2 linked regions of the Arabidopsis thaliana genome follow. The protein of the gene in region 2 interacts with the protein of the main gene of each other region in a pairwise test. Each region holds a gene or a part of one and is shown on either strand. Other genes may lie near its edges.

Region 1 (5,414 bases), on a different chromosome or scaffold from region 2:
ACACAATTCTGATTTTGGTAATGTCTGAAAGAGTCATATTTTGTTAGTGAATTACTGGACTTTTATAGCTAACTGAGACTCCAATATTGATTTCGTGTTTTGCGGATCAAGTATCATATTTTTTACGCGTTTTTGGTAAAGAAAAGACACAAGAAAATGCAAAATGGTCACAAAAGGACGACAGAAGAAAGTATTGACCTTGAGGTGTCCTCTTGTAATAACATCTGCCGTTTATGTACAACAACAACATTGTTACGTAATCTATTGCACATGTCAATGAAGCCTTATTTGGACCACCACTATTCTTATCCATCTTCTATATATAAAGTCACGATCACATGATCACACACAATCCAAAAACCACAAAACTTGAGAGTTCATCATTGAGTTGGAACCGGTATGGCTTCCGAAAAATCCCACAAAGTTCATCCTCCTCTTCACTTTATTCTTTTCCCTTTCATGGCTCAGGGCCACATGATTCCCATGATTGATATAGCAAGGCTCTTGGCTCAGCGCGGTGCGACAGTAACTATTGTCACGACACGTTATAATGCAGGGAGGTTCGAGAATGTCTTAAGTCGTGCCATGGAGTCTGGTTTACCCATCAACATAGTGCATGTGAATTTTCCATATCAAGAATTTGGTTTGCCAGAAGGAAAAGAGAATATAGATTCGTATGACTCAATGGAGCTGATGGTACCTTTCTTTCAAGCAGTTAACATGCTCGAAGATCCGGTCATGAAGCTCATGGAAGAGATGAAACCTAGACCTAGCTGTATTATTTCTGATTTGCTCTTGCCTTATACAAGCAAAATCGCAAGGAAATTCAGTATACCAAAGATAGTTTTCCACGGCACGGGTTGCTTTAATCTTTTGTGTATGCATGTTCTACGCAGAAACCTCGAGATCTTGAAGAACTTAAAGTCGGATAAAGATTATTTCCTGGTTCCTAGTTTTCCTGATAGAGTTGAATTTACAAAGCCTCAAGTTCCAGTGGAAACAACTGCAAGTGGAGATTGGAAAGCGTTCTTGGACGAAATGGTAGAAGCAGAATACACATCCTATGGTGTGATCGTCAACACATTTCAGGAGTTGGAGCCTGCTTATGTCAAAGACTACACGAAGGCTAGGGCTGGAAAAGTATGGTCCATTGGACCTGTTTCCTTGTGCAACAAGGCAGGTGCTGATAAAGCTGAGAGGGGAAACCAGGCCGCCATTGATCAAGATGAGTGTCTTCAATGGCTTGATTCTAAAGAAGATGGTTCGGTGTTATATGTTTGCCTTGGAAGTATCTGTAATCTACCTTTGTCTCAGCTCAAGGAGCTGGGGCTAGGCCTTGAAAAATCCCAAAGATCTTTTATTTGGGTCATAAGAGGTTGGGAAAAGTATAATGAACTATATGAGTGGATGATGGAGAGCGGTTTTGAAGAAAGAATCAAAGAGAGAGGACTTCTTATTAAAGGGTGGTCACCTCAAGTCCTTATCCTTTCACATCCTTCCGTTGGAGGATTCCTGACACACTGTGGATGGAACTCGACTCTCGAAGGAATCACCTCAGGCATTCCACTGATCACTTGGCCGCTGTTTGGAGACCAATTCTGCAACCAAAAACTGGTCGTTCAAGTACTAAAAGCCGGTGTAAGTGCCGGGGTTGAAGAAGTCATGAAATGGGGAGAAGAGGAGAAAATAGGAGTGTTAGTGGATAAAGAAGGAGTAAAGAAGGCAGTGGAAGAGTTAATGGGTGCGAGTGATGATGCAAAAGAGAGGAGAAGAAGAGTCAAAGAGCTTGGAGAATCAGCTCACAAGGCTGTGGAAGAAGGAGGCTCTTCTCATTCTAACATCACATACTTGCTACAAGACATAATGCAACAAGTGAAATCCAAGAACTGATTACATCATTTTTAGTAACATTACCATAATTTAATTCAAATTAAGTCTGTTCTTCTGAGATGTATTAAAAAAAACTTATAATGATGCACTAGATGATGATTTCCGCTGTATGCGGACTAAATTTACTAGTAAAATTAACATAAACTCTAGCCACCGTATTAAATTAAATCATTTTCAGGTTAAAAATTTATTCAGACCTCTTCTCAAGTTAAAAACTATATCATTTTCAAGAAAAGAAATATCAAATACTAATAGTAAAGGTAGATGTGTCATAAGAGCAAATCATACCACACCAACATACGTTGTTTCTTATATAGCTTCTCTTGATTTATTTTGAAGACGTTATCTCTTATATGTCACTGTCGATAGAGTCCCAGTTACGTTTGATATCTTTATTTTCTTAATCAAGTTGATTTTAGCGGTTGTGAATTCTTTCCACTTTATTTTAGATGTAGTTATCAAATATATGAATACAAAATAATACAAAAGATAGGTGCCCGCCACAAAACGTAATGTACTAATAATCTCTGTGAACCAAGATTTTGGTACTTCCAAGTTTTTTATTCTTTTTCATGAATCAACAAATATAAGATTAAAGTATGCACTGACATTTAGACAAACACACACACACACACACACACACACACACACACAATCGGAATCAAAGCAAAAAAGAACTTAGAGATAGGTCCTCATGGCTTTCGAGAAGACCCGCCAATTTCTTCCTCCGCTTCACTTTGTTCTCTTCCCTTTCATGGCTCAAGGCCACATGATCCCCATGGTGGATATTGCAAGGATCTTGGCTCAGCGCGGGGTGACTATTACCATTGTCACGACGCCTCACAACGCAGCCAGGTTCAAAGATGTCCTAAACCGGGCCATCCAGTCAGGCTTGCACATTAGGGTTGAGCATGTGAAGTTTCCTTTTCAAGAAGCTGGTTTGCAAGAAGGACAAGAGAATGTTGATTTTCTTGACTCAATGGAGTTAATGGTACATTTCTTTAAAGCGGTTAACATGCTTGAAAATCCGGTCATGAAGCTCATGGAAGAGATGAAACCTAAACCAAGCTGCCTAATTTCTGATTTTTGTTTGCCTTATACAAGCAAAATCGCTAAGAGGTTCAATATCCCAAAGATCGTTTTCCATGGCGTGTCTTGCTTTTGTCTTTTGAGTATGCATATTCTACACCGAAACCACAATATCTTACATGCTTTAAAGTCGGACAAAGAGTATTTCTTGGTTCCTAGTTTTCCAGATAGAGTTGAATTTACAAAGCTTCAAGTTACTGTGAAAACAAACTTTAGTGGAGATTGGAAAGAGATCATGGACGAACAGGTGGATGCTGATGACACGTCCTATGGTGTAATTGTCAACACATTTCAGGATTTGGAGTCTGCCTATGTGAAAAACTACACGGAGGCTAGGGCTGGTAAAGTATGGAGCATCGGTCCGGTTTCCTTGTGCAACAAGGTAGGAGAAGACAAAGCTGAGAGGGGAAACAAGGCAGCCATTGATCAAGACGAGTGTATTAAATGGCTTGATTCTAAAGATGTAGAGTCGGTGCTGTATGTTTGCCTTGGAAGTATATGCAATCTTCCTCTGGCTCAGCTTAGAGAGCTCGGGCTAGGCCTCGAGGCAACTAAAAGACCATTCATTTGGGTCATAAGAGGTGGGGGAAAGTATCATGAACTAGCTGAGTGGATCTTAGAGAGCGGTTTTGAAGAAAGAACCAAAGAGAGAAGCCTTCTCATAAAAGGATGGTCGCCTCAAATGCTTATCCTTTCACACCCTGCCGTTGGAGGATTCCTGACACATTGTGGATGGAACTCAACTTTAGAAGGAATCACCTCAGGGGTTCCATTGATCACTTGGCCATTATTTGGAGACCAATTCTGCAACCAGAAACTGATCGTGCAGGTGCTAAAAGCAGGTGTAAGTGTTGGGGTTGAAGAGGTCATGAAATGGGGAGAAGAGGAGAGTATTGGAGTGTTAGTGGATAAAGAAGGAGTGAAGAAGGCAGTGGACGAAATAATGGGCGAGAGTGATGAAGCAAAAGAGAGAAGAAAAAGAGTCAGAGAGCTTGGAGAATTAGCTCACAAGGCTGTGGAAGAAGGAGGCTCTTCTCATTCTAATATCATATTTTTGCTACAAGATATAATGCAACAAGTAGAATCCAAGAGTTGATTGTATATATTGTTGTTGTTTGTTAAATCATTGTGCGTGCATGTAATATCTTATCAGTTATTTGTTGGGTAATCGAATTCGTCTTGTTTTGCTATTAGAATTATGTAAATATTTTAAAAACTACAACTTATATACATTGAAATCGTAGAAAGAGCCAATGTCTAATAATTTCATTGTATAGACAGCTGCGCTGGTAGTCCGGCGGAGTTCAACTTTCCTAATTCTTCTAGCGGTTTTAGGCTTATTATCAATAATGTTTTTTTTAAAGAAATCTACAATTTCCCTAATAATTCCTTTTATGTATATCCGTTTATAGTTTTTCATATTTTAATAGCTATACAAAATTTGATTTATCTTGTCACCAATCTGAATTTCAAACAATCAAGATATTTGTCATAAGGAGATTTTTTTTTTTTTTTTTTGTGCACCTAAGGAGATTTTATTTTAAATGAAATTTTCATTAAGAGTTTTGATTTTTCGGAAGAAAAAAAAAAGAGGAAACAAAAAATACGTTTTTAAGAAAACAACCAAGTATTTCACATATCCTAATTTAATATCCTATCAAAATCAGTCGTCATAAAGCAAAAAAAAAAAAAAAAAAAAAAAAGACTAGAATAGCTAGAAATCTAGAGTACACACTTTGATTTAGTTTGAAGACAAATGTTGAGGCTTGTTTGTCCATACGACATAAAAAGAAGGAGAGACTGAGATATTCCGAATTTGATTTTTCTTTCTTTATTCGTTTATCCAATACTAATTTTTACGGCTATAAACTTTTCACTATCTTTTCGACGTACCTCTAGCTAAAAGATATTTTCTCTTAAAATTTTGGGCTTATATGAATACAAAAGAACATATGAGTGCCCGCCACGATATGTACTGTGAACCACTTAGTGTGTTTTGTAACTATTACGAATAATAAGCCAATTTCCTTTTGTTCTTTCTTACATCACATCTTAATATATGTAGGCACAGAGAAACACACACATTATCGGAACCAAAGCAAAAAAAATAAACCTTAGAAGAGAGTTCCTCATGGCATCGGAATTTCGTCCTCCTCTTCATTTTGTTCTCTTCCCTTTCATGGCTCAAGGCCACATGATCCCAATGGTAGATATTGCAAGGCTCCTGGCTCAGCGCGGGGTGACTATAACCATTGTCACTACACCTCAAAACGCAGGCCGGTTCAAGAACGTTCTTAGCCGGGCTATCCAATCCGGCTTGCCCATCAATCTCGTGCAAGTAAAGTTTCCATCTCAAGAATCGGGTTCACCGGAAGGACAGGAGAATTTGGACTTGCTCGATTCATTGGGGGCTTCATTAACCTTCTTCAAAGCAT
Region 2 (5,167 bases):
TGGCTTCCTTCTGGCGTCGTTAGCTCCTTTAGCAACGTCGGCTAGCTTTTCTCCGACATCGGTGGTTTCTTTAGCACCGTTGGTCGGCTTCGTTCTTCAAATTTAGTTTTTGCCTTTCAACCTTGTTCGATTCTATTTTGCTTCGGTTTTAATTGGTTTTGATTTCTCTTTCTCTTCATTTCGATCTAAATTTGTAATTTTTCGATCCTCCCTTCTTTAAGGGGCTTAATTTGTTCTTCAAGCTTATTGAGTTTTCATTTTAAAAGATCAAATTTTTAGTTACGGATTGAAGTTTAATTTAGTGTCTTTTGTTTGATTTTGATGAAATTAGAGCTGTTGTTTGTCTTTCTTGTTGCCGATGCTTGTTGAATCGTTTGGGTTTATGTTGTTTTTCCTTTAAATGGCAGAAGTCGAAGTCGATAGTTTGTGAGCTATTTCTTTCTTGAAGGTTTTAAATTTTACAGTCATTGTCACAGAAGATTTGTCAATTGTCTCATCGGATTTGTAGCTGCTTCCGATTTGGCGTTTACAGCAATTCCGGTGAACTTAAGTTTTTTGTGGTTATGATTCTCCACCTGCGACATTCTGCAACTCATCATTTTCTGTTTCCACGTGTCCTCTTTACCGTGTCTCTAGTGCCATGTGGGCTTTGACTTATTAGCACATTAGCTTTCTCTTCTTCAGAAGGTGGTCTTTGGGCTTTTGTCCGTTTATGGCCTGTTATATGGCTTTGTAAAATATGGCTTGTTAAAAGGCTTTGTAATATAAATAATAAAACAGTTGTGACAAAAAAAAAAAAATATATAGTTTGATGGTGATTGGTGAACTTCTTTTTTTTCCAAGATTGCAGTAAACGTCGTCTTTAGCTCCAAAAACAACCTTTGTCTTGTTCAGCTAATGGCGATTTTTGAATGGCGGCACAGAAGACGGCCATTCGACGGCGGAGGAACTCGTCGCCGTCGTTTCTTCAGCCCATTGTATTCGAGAAATTTCAAGAGAACGATTCTCTTCGCTGTGATTTTCTTAGCTATCTTCCCTCCTCTCTACTTCCATTTCAAGCTCCGACGAATTCGTCAGATTGTCGCGCAAAAGTGCGATTGGCTTCACCATCCTCCACTTGTCTGTGCTCACGGCGGCGATTCCACCCTCGCTTTCCCAAACACTGTACGTACACTCTCGATCTCTTCTTCTTCACACTCTTGCTACTAACCTTTTTAAACCTTAATCTCTTGGACTCTTCTCAATCGTAGATGGACGCTTACAGTTTCGCTATACGTTCTCGAGTTGATTGCATTGAAGTCGATGTTTCTCGTTCCTCCGATGGTGTTTTATTCGCTCTTCACAACAGGTTACAGACTCTGATCCTTGTTGTATCATCTTCTTCTAATGTTTCTGTGTTTGGATTCTCATCGGTGTTCTTCTTATTCATCTTCTGATCACACGCACAGTCAGGGATCTGCAGCGTATTGCTCGTAACTCTTCTGTTCAAGTTGGAGATCTGAGTATGAAACAGGTCTCATCTCTCCCTCTCTCTCTTTACCAGCTTTTGGGATATGCTTTTTTGCATCCATTTTTCATAAACCTTTTGATGATCTTTTTGCAGATCAAGGAACTCGATGTCTCGGAGATTGTTAAAGGAACCTTGGGAAGTAGTAGGATTCCTACTCTTGAAGAGGCTTTAGCGGTAATGCCTGTTTTTTTAATTACTATCTTGTCATTGCTTTGCTTTGTAATTTCTGCTTAGTAACAAGTGGCTGAAGCTAGTTTTGATCTTGAATCATCTAGTTGATATCGAATTCAGTCCGGAAAGTGATCCTTGATGCCAAAGTTGGACCGCCAATGTATGAAAAGGGGTTAGCACAAGACATCCTTTCTATTGTAAGTACTATGTTTTTGTTAGCTCTTGTACTTGTAAAGCTTTAGTACAATGTGCTCGAGATTTATAAACATGTTTTGATTCCTTAATAGCGTTGCTTAATCATTTATTTCCTGGTATCTTTGTACACAAAGCTAGAACAGCTTACTATAGATACTTGAAAAAACAAGAGTATGGATAAATTGTTGATGTTTCAATGGTGGTATTTCTGGCTTTGCTCACATGAATCGCCAATCCTCTGTTGTTAGATTGAGAGAGCGCAGTGCAATAATTGCATCGTATGGGCCAAAAGCGACACTTTGGCTAGGGACATAATTAGACGAGCACCAGATACTATGGTAAACAGAAATGGATTGTCTTGTGAGGATCAGATAGAGAAGTTTCTTGCTCATTTCCTAGTGATTTTGGCAGGTGGGATACATTGTGATGGTAGATCCTTTGACTGGGGCGAGAAACAGCCTGCTGAGAATGAAGGGAGCTAGGGTTGTGGGAGTTTATCATCCCTTGATCGATGAAGAATTAGTTAGAGTTGTCCGTCGGTAAGCAATCGATTTCAATGTTTTCAAATAAAAACACACCTGCTCATGTGTTTACAACCTTGCTCGATCTGATCAACAGGAGAAACAAAGAGGTGTATGCATGGACTGTGGATGATGCTGATCCCATGAAAAGGATGCTTCACTTAGGTGTGGATGCTGTTGTGACGAGCGATCCATCTATGTTTCAGGGTCTCATGGAAGATCTTAGAACTGAGTGTCTTGAAGAAGGTTTTTCAATACGGACGTGAGAATTTCTTTTTCGAGCATTCTTAATGACTGTAATACCAACTCAGAAGTTTTTGGCAAAGATCTTTCTTTATGTTGTTTTGCTGATCCACAAGTTTTTGACAACTACACACTACGACGCCTTGATACACAGTAAGACGAGTCTTTCTCAAGAAAAGCAAAGTATGGCCGGTTCTTGATGAAGCCATTGCTTCTATCGATACAGCTACTGATAATCTGATCCAGGAGACTCTGAGGCAACACTTTTCGGACTGCACAGTGAAAACAATCTCACACAGATATCTTCTTTTATACATAACGATATGAGCCTGCTCCTAGAACAAGGTCTAATACACTTGTATTTAAGTTTAAATAATCAGATGACTGATATTAAGTCTGTTTATATAATATGGATAGAGAACGATATGATAAGGTGATTGAAGCATGTTCTTTGAGTAAAGATCTGGAGATACTTTCATTCGGTGATCAGACCGTCATTGGAGAACGCGGCATCAATTTGAGTGGTGGACAAAAGCAAAGAATACATATTGCACGCGCTCTCTACCAAGATGCGGACATCTATCTGTTTGATGATCCTTTTAGTGCTGTCGATGCACACACAGGGTCACATCTCTTTAAGGTACAATCTTCTTACTTAGCCATTAGTGTGATTGTGATTTCTCCTTCCGTAAACAATCATGTATCAAATTTATTTTCATTCTCATACTTTTTTCAGGAAGCTCTACGAGGGCTTTTATGTTCTAAATCGGTTATATATGTAACCCATCAAGTTGAGTTCTTACCTTCTGCTGATCTTACACTGGTATGTGAATAGTTCACTGTCTTTTATCATTTTCTACAGCACTGAGAATATGAAATCATCCATAACCGATTTTCTTATGCCTCAGGTCATGAAAGATGGGAGAATCAGCCAAGCTGGAAAATATAATGATATCCTCATCTCTGGAACAGATTTCAGGGAGCTTATAGGTGCGCATCAAGAGTCTCTGGCAGTAGTTGGGTCGGCTGATGCCAGTTCTGTTTCTGAAAACTCAGCTTTAGACGAAGAAAATGGTGTTGTGAGAGATGATATTGGTTTCGACGGGAAACAAGAAAGTCAAGATCTGAAGAACGATAAATTAGATTCTGGGGAGCCCCAAAGACAATTTGTTCAAGAGGAAGAGAGGGCGAAAGGTAGCGTCGCTTTGGATGTATACTGGAAATATATCACACTGGCATACGGAGGAGCTCTTGTGCCTTTCATATTGTTGGGGCAAATTCTCTTTCAGCTTCTACAGATTGGAAGTAACTACTGGATGGCTTGGGCTACTCCTATTTCTGAGGATGTGCAAGCTCCTGTGAAACTTTCTACGTTAATGGTTGTGTATGTTGCTTTGGCATTTGGAAGTTCCCTCTGCATTCTTGTTAGAGCCACGCTTCTTGTCACGGCTGGTTACAAGACTGCTACTGAACTGTTTCATAAAATGCATCACTGCATTTTCCGTTCTCCAATGTCTTTTAAAATTGCAAAAACTTGTTCAAAAACTTGTATATATTCATCATAACTATATCCAAATATGTATTATATTGACAGAAAGAAAGAAAACAAGAGAAAATAAAACATAAAAATAATCCATAATGTCAAATAAAGAAATTACAATATACTTAAAATAAATAAATATCTAAACATCTTTTTTTTAAAAATATTCTTTTTAACTTACATATAATATTGTTAAAAATTGAAAGTATAATTAACAACATCAAAGCATCAAATTTGAAGGAGAAATCATTGTTGGCAAATACGAAATCGTTCTTTGTCTAAAAAAAGAAACTTGATCTTGACGATTTCTGATATTTGAAAAATAGGCAGCCGCTAGACCAAGCATCCAAAACTTTTCATGTAATTGGTTGGTTCTTATAACGTCAATCTTAATAGAATATATTTTCTCCCATTTTTCGGTAGGATATTCTTGGTGTAAACTCCAAACGACCAAATTTGAACTTTCTAGCACATCCGATAGGCACAAACGTTCATTCAGATTCCACATTTCTATATTAGTAGCATATTTGGTGTCACACTCTGGTAATAATATCCATCGAAATTCTTCAGTGTGAAGATCGATAGCTAATAGCTGGTAAGATGTTTGACTAAGCTTCTTTAATGTCAACCAAAAGAGGGATCCGTTGGCGTAGACTGATGTTTGCTCATCGCAGAAGATACAATGATGTATGTCATAAAACCCTACGTCTCTTTGCTCACCATTATCAAGGGATAGGACCTTGGCCTTGAACTCATGATCATGTATTTCATATCTTGTATATATCAAAACCACCTTATAAGATTTTTTAACAATATCTTTGCCAAATCCAGCAAGAGACGGCATTCTCTTCACTAATCCACCTTGACGAAAAATTTTTTTTTGATAAATAGGTATATAACATATTACTATGTGAAAGTTAAAATTCAACTCTATAATCAACCATAGAACAAGAAAGTTGACAAACCAGATATGTCATAATCCAATAC

Evidence for each region. Proteins that work in one complex are often made in the same cells at the same time.
Region 1: the proteins of NAP5 (region 2) and UGT73C2 interact in a protein complementation assay, tested with the Arabidopsis thaliana proteins (one large-scale study listed by BioGRID).

What each region holds. Positions count from the first base shown.
Region 1 is NC_003071.7:15,411,703-15,417,116, reverse strand, and holds UGT73C2 (UDP-glucosyl transferase 73C2), read left to right. Parts: upstream 1-2,522; 5' UTR 2,523-2,584; coding exon 2,585-4,075; 3' UTR 4,076-4,150; downstream 4,151-5,414. Other genes in the region: AT2G36770 (UDP-Glycosyltransferase superfamily protein), read left to right, coding at 400-1,890; UGT73C1 (UDP-glucosyl transferase 73C1), read left to right, coding at 5,111-5,414.
Region 2 is NC_003070.9:26,883,052-26,888,218, reverse strand, and holds NAP5 (non-intrinsic ABC protein 5), read left to right. Parts: upstream 1-3,049; coding exon 3,050-3,280; intron 3,281-3,376; coding exon 3,377-3,463; intron 3,464-3,548; coding exon 3,549-4,205; downstream 4,206-5,167. Other genes in the region: GDPD4 (PLC-like phosphodiesterases superfamily protein), read left to right, coding at 898-1,164, 1,251-1,348, 1,453-1,513, 1,604-1,684, 1,786-1,878, 2,125-2,214, 2,288-2,415, 2,495-2,663; AT1G71320 (F-box family protein), read right to left, coding at 4,401-5,032, 5,146-5,167.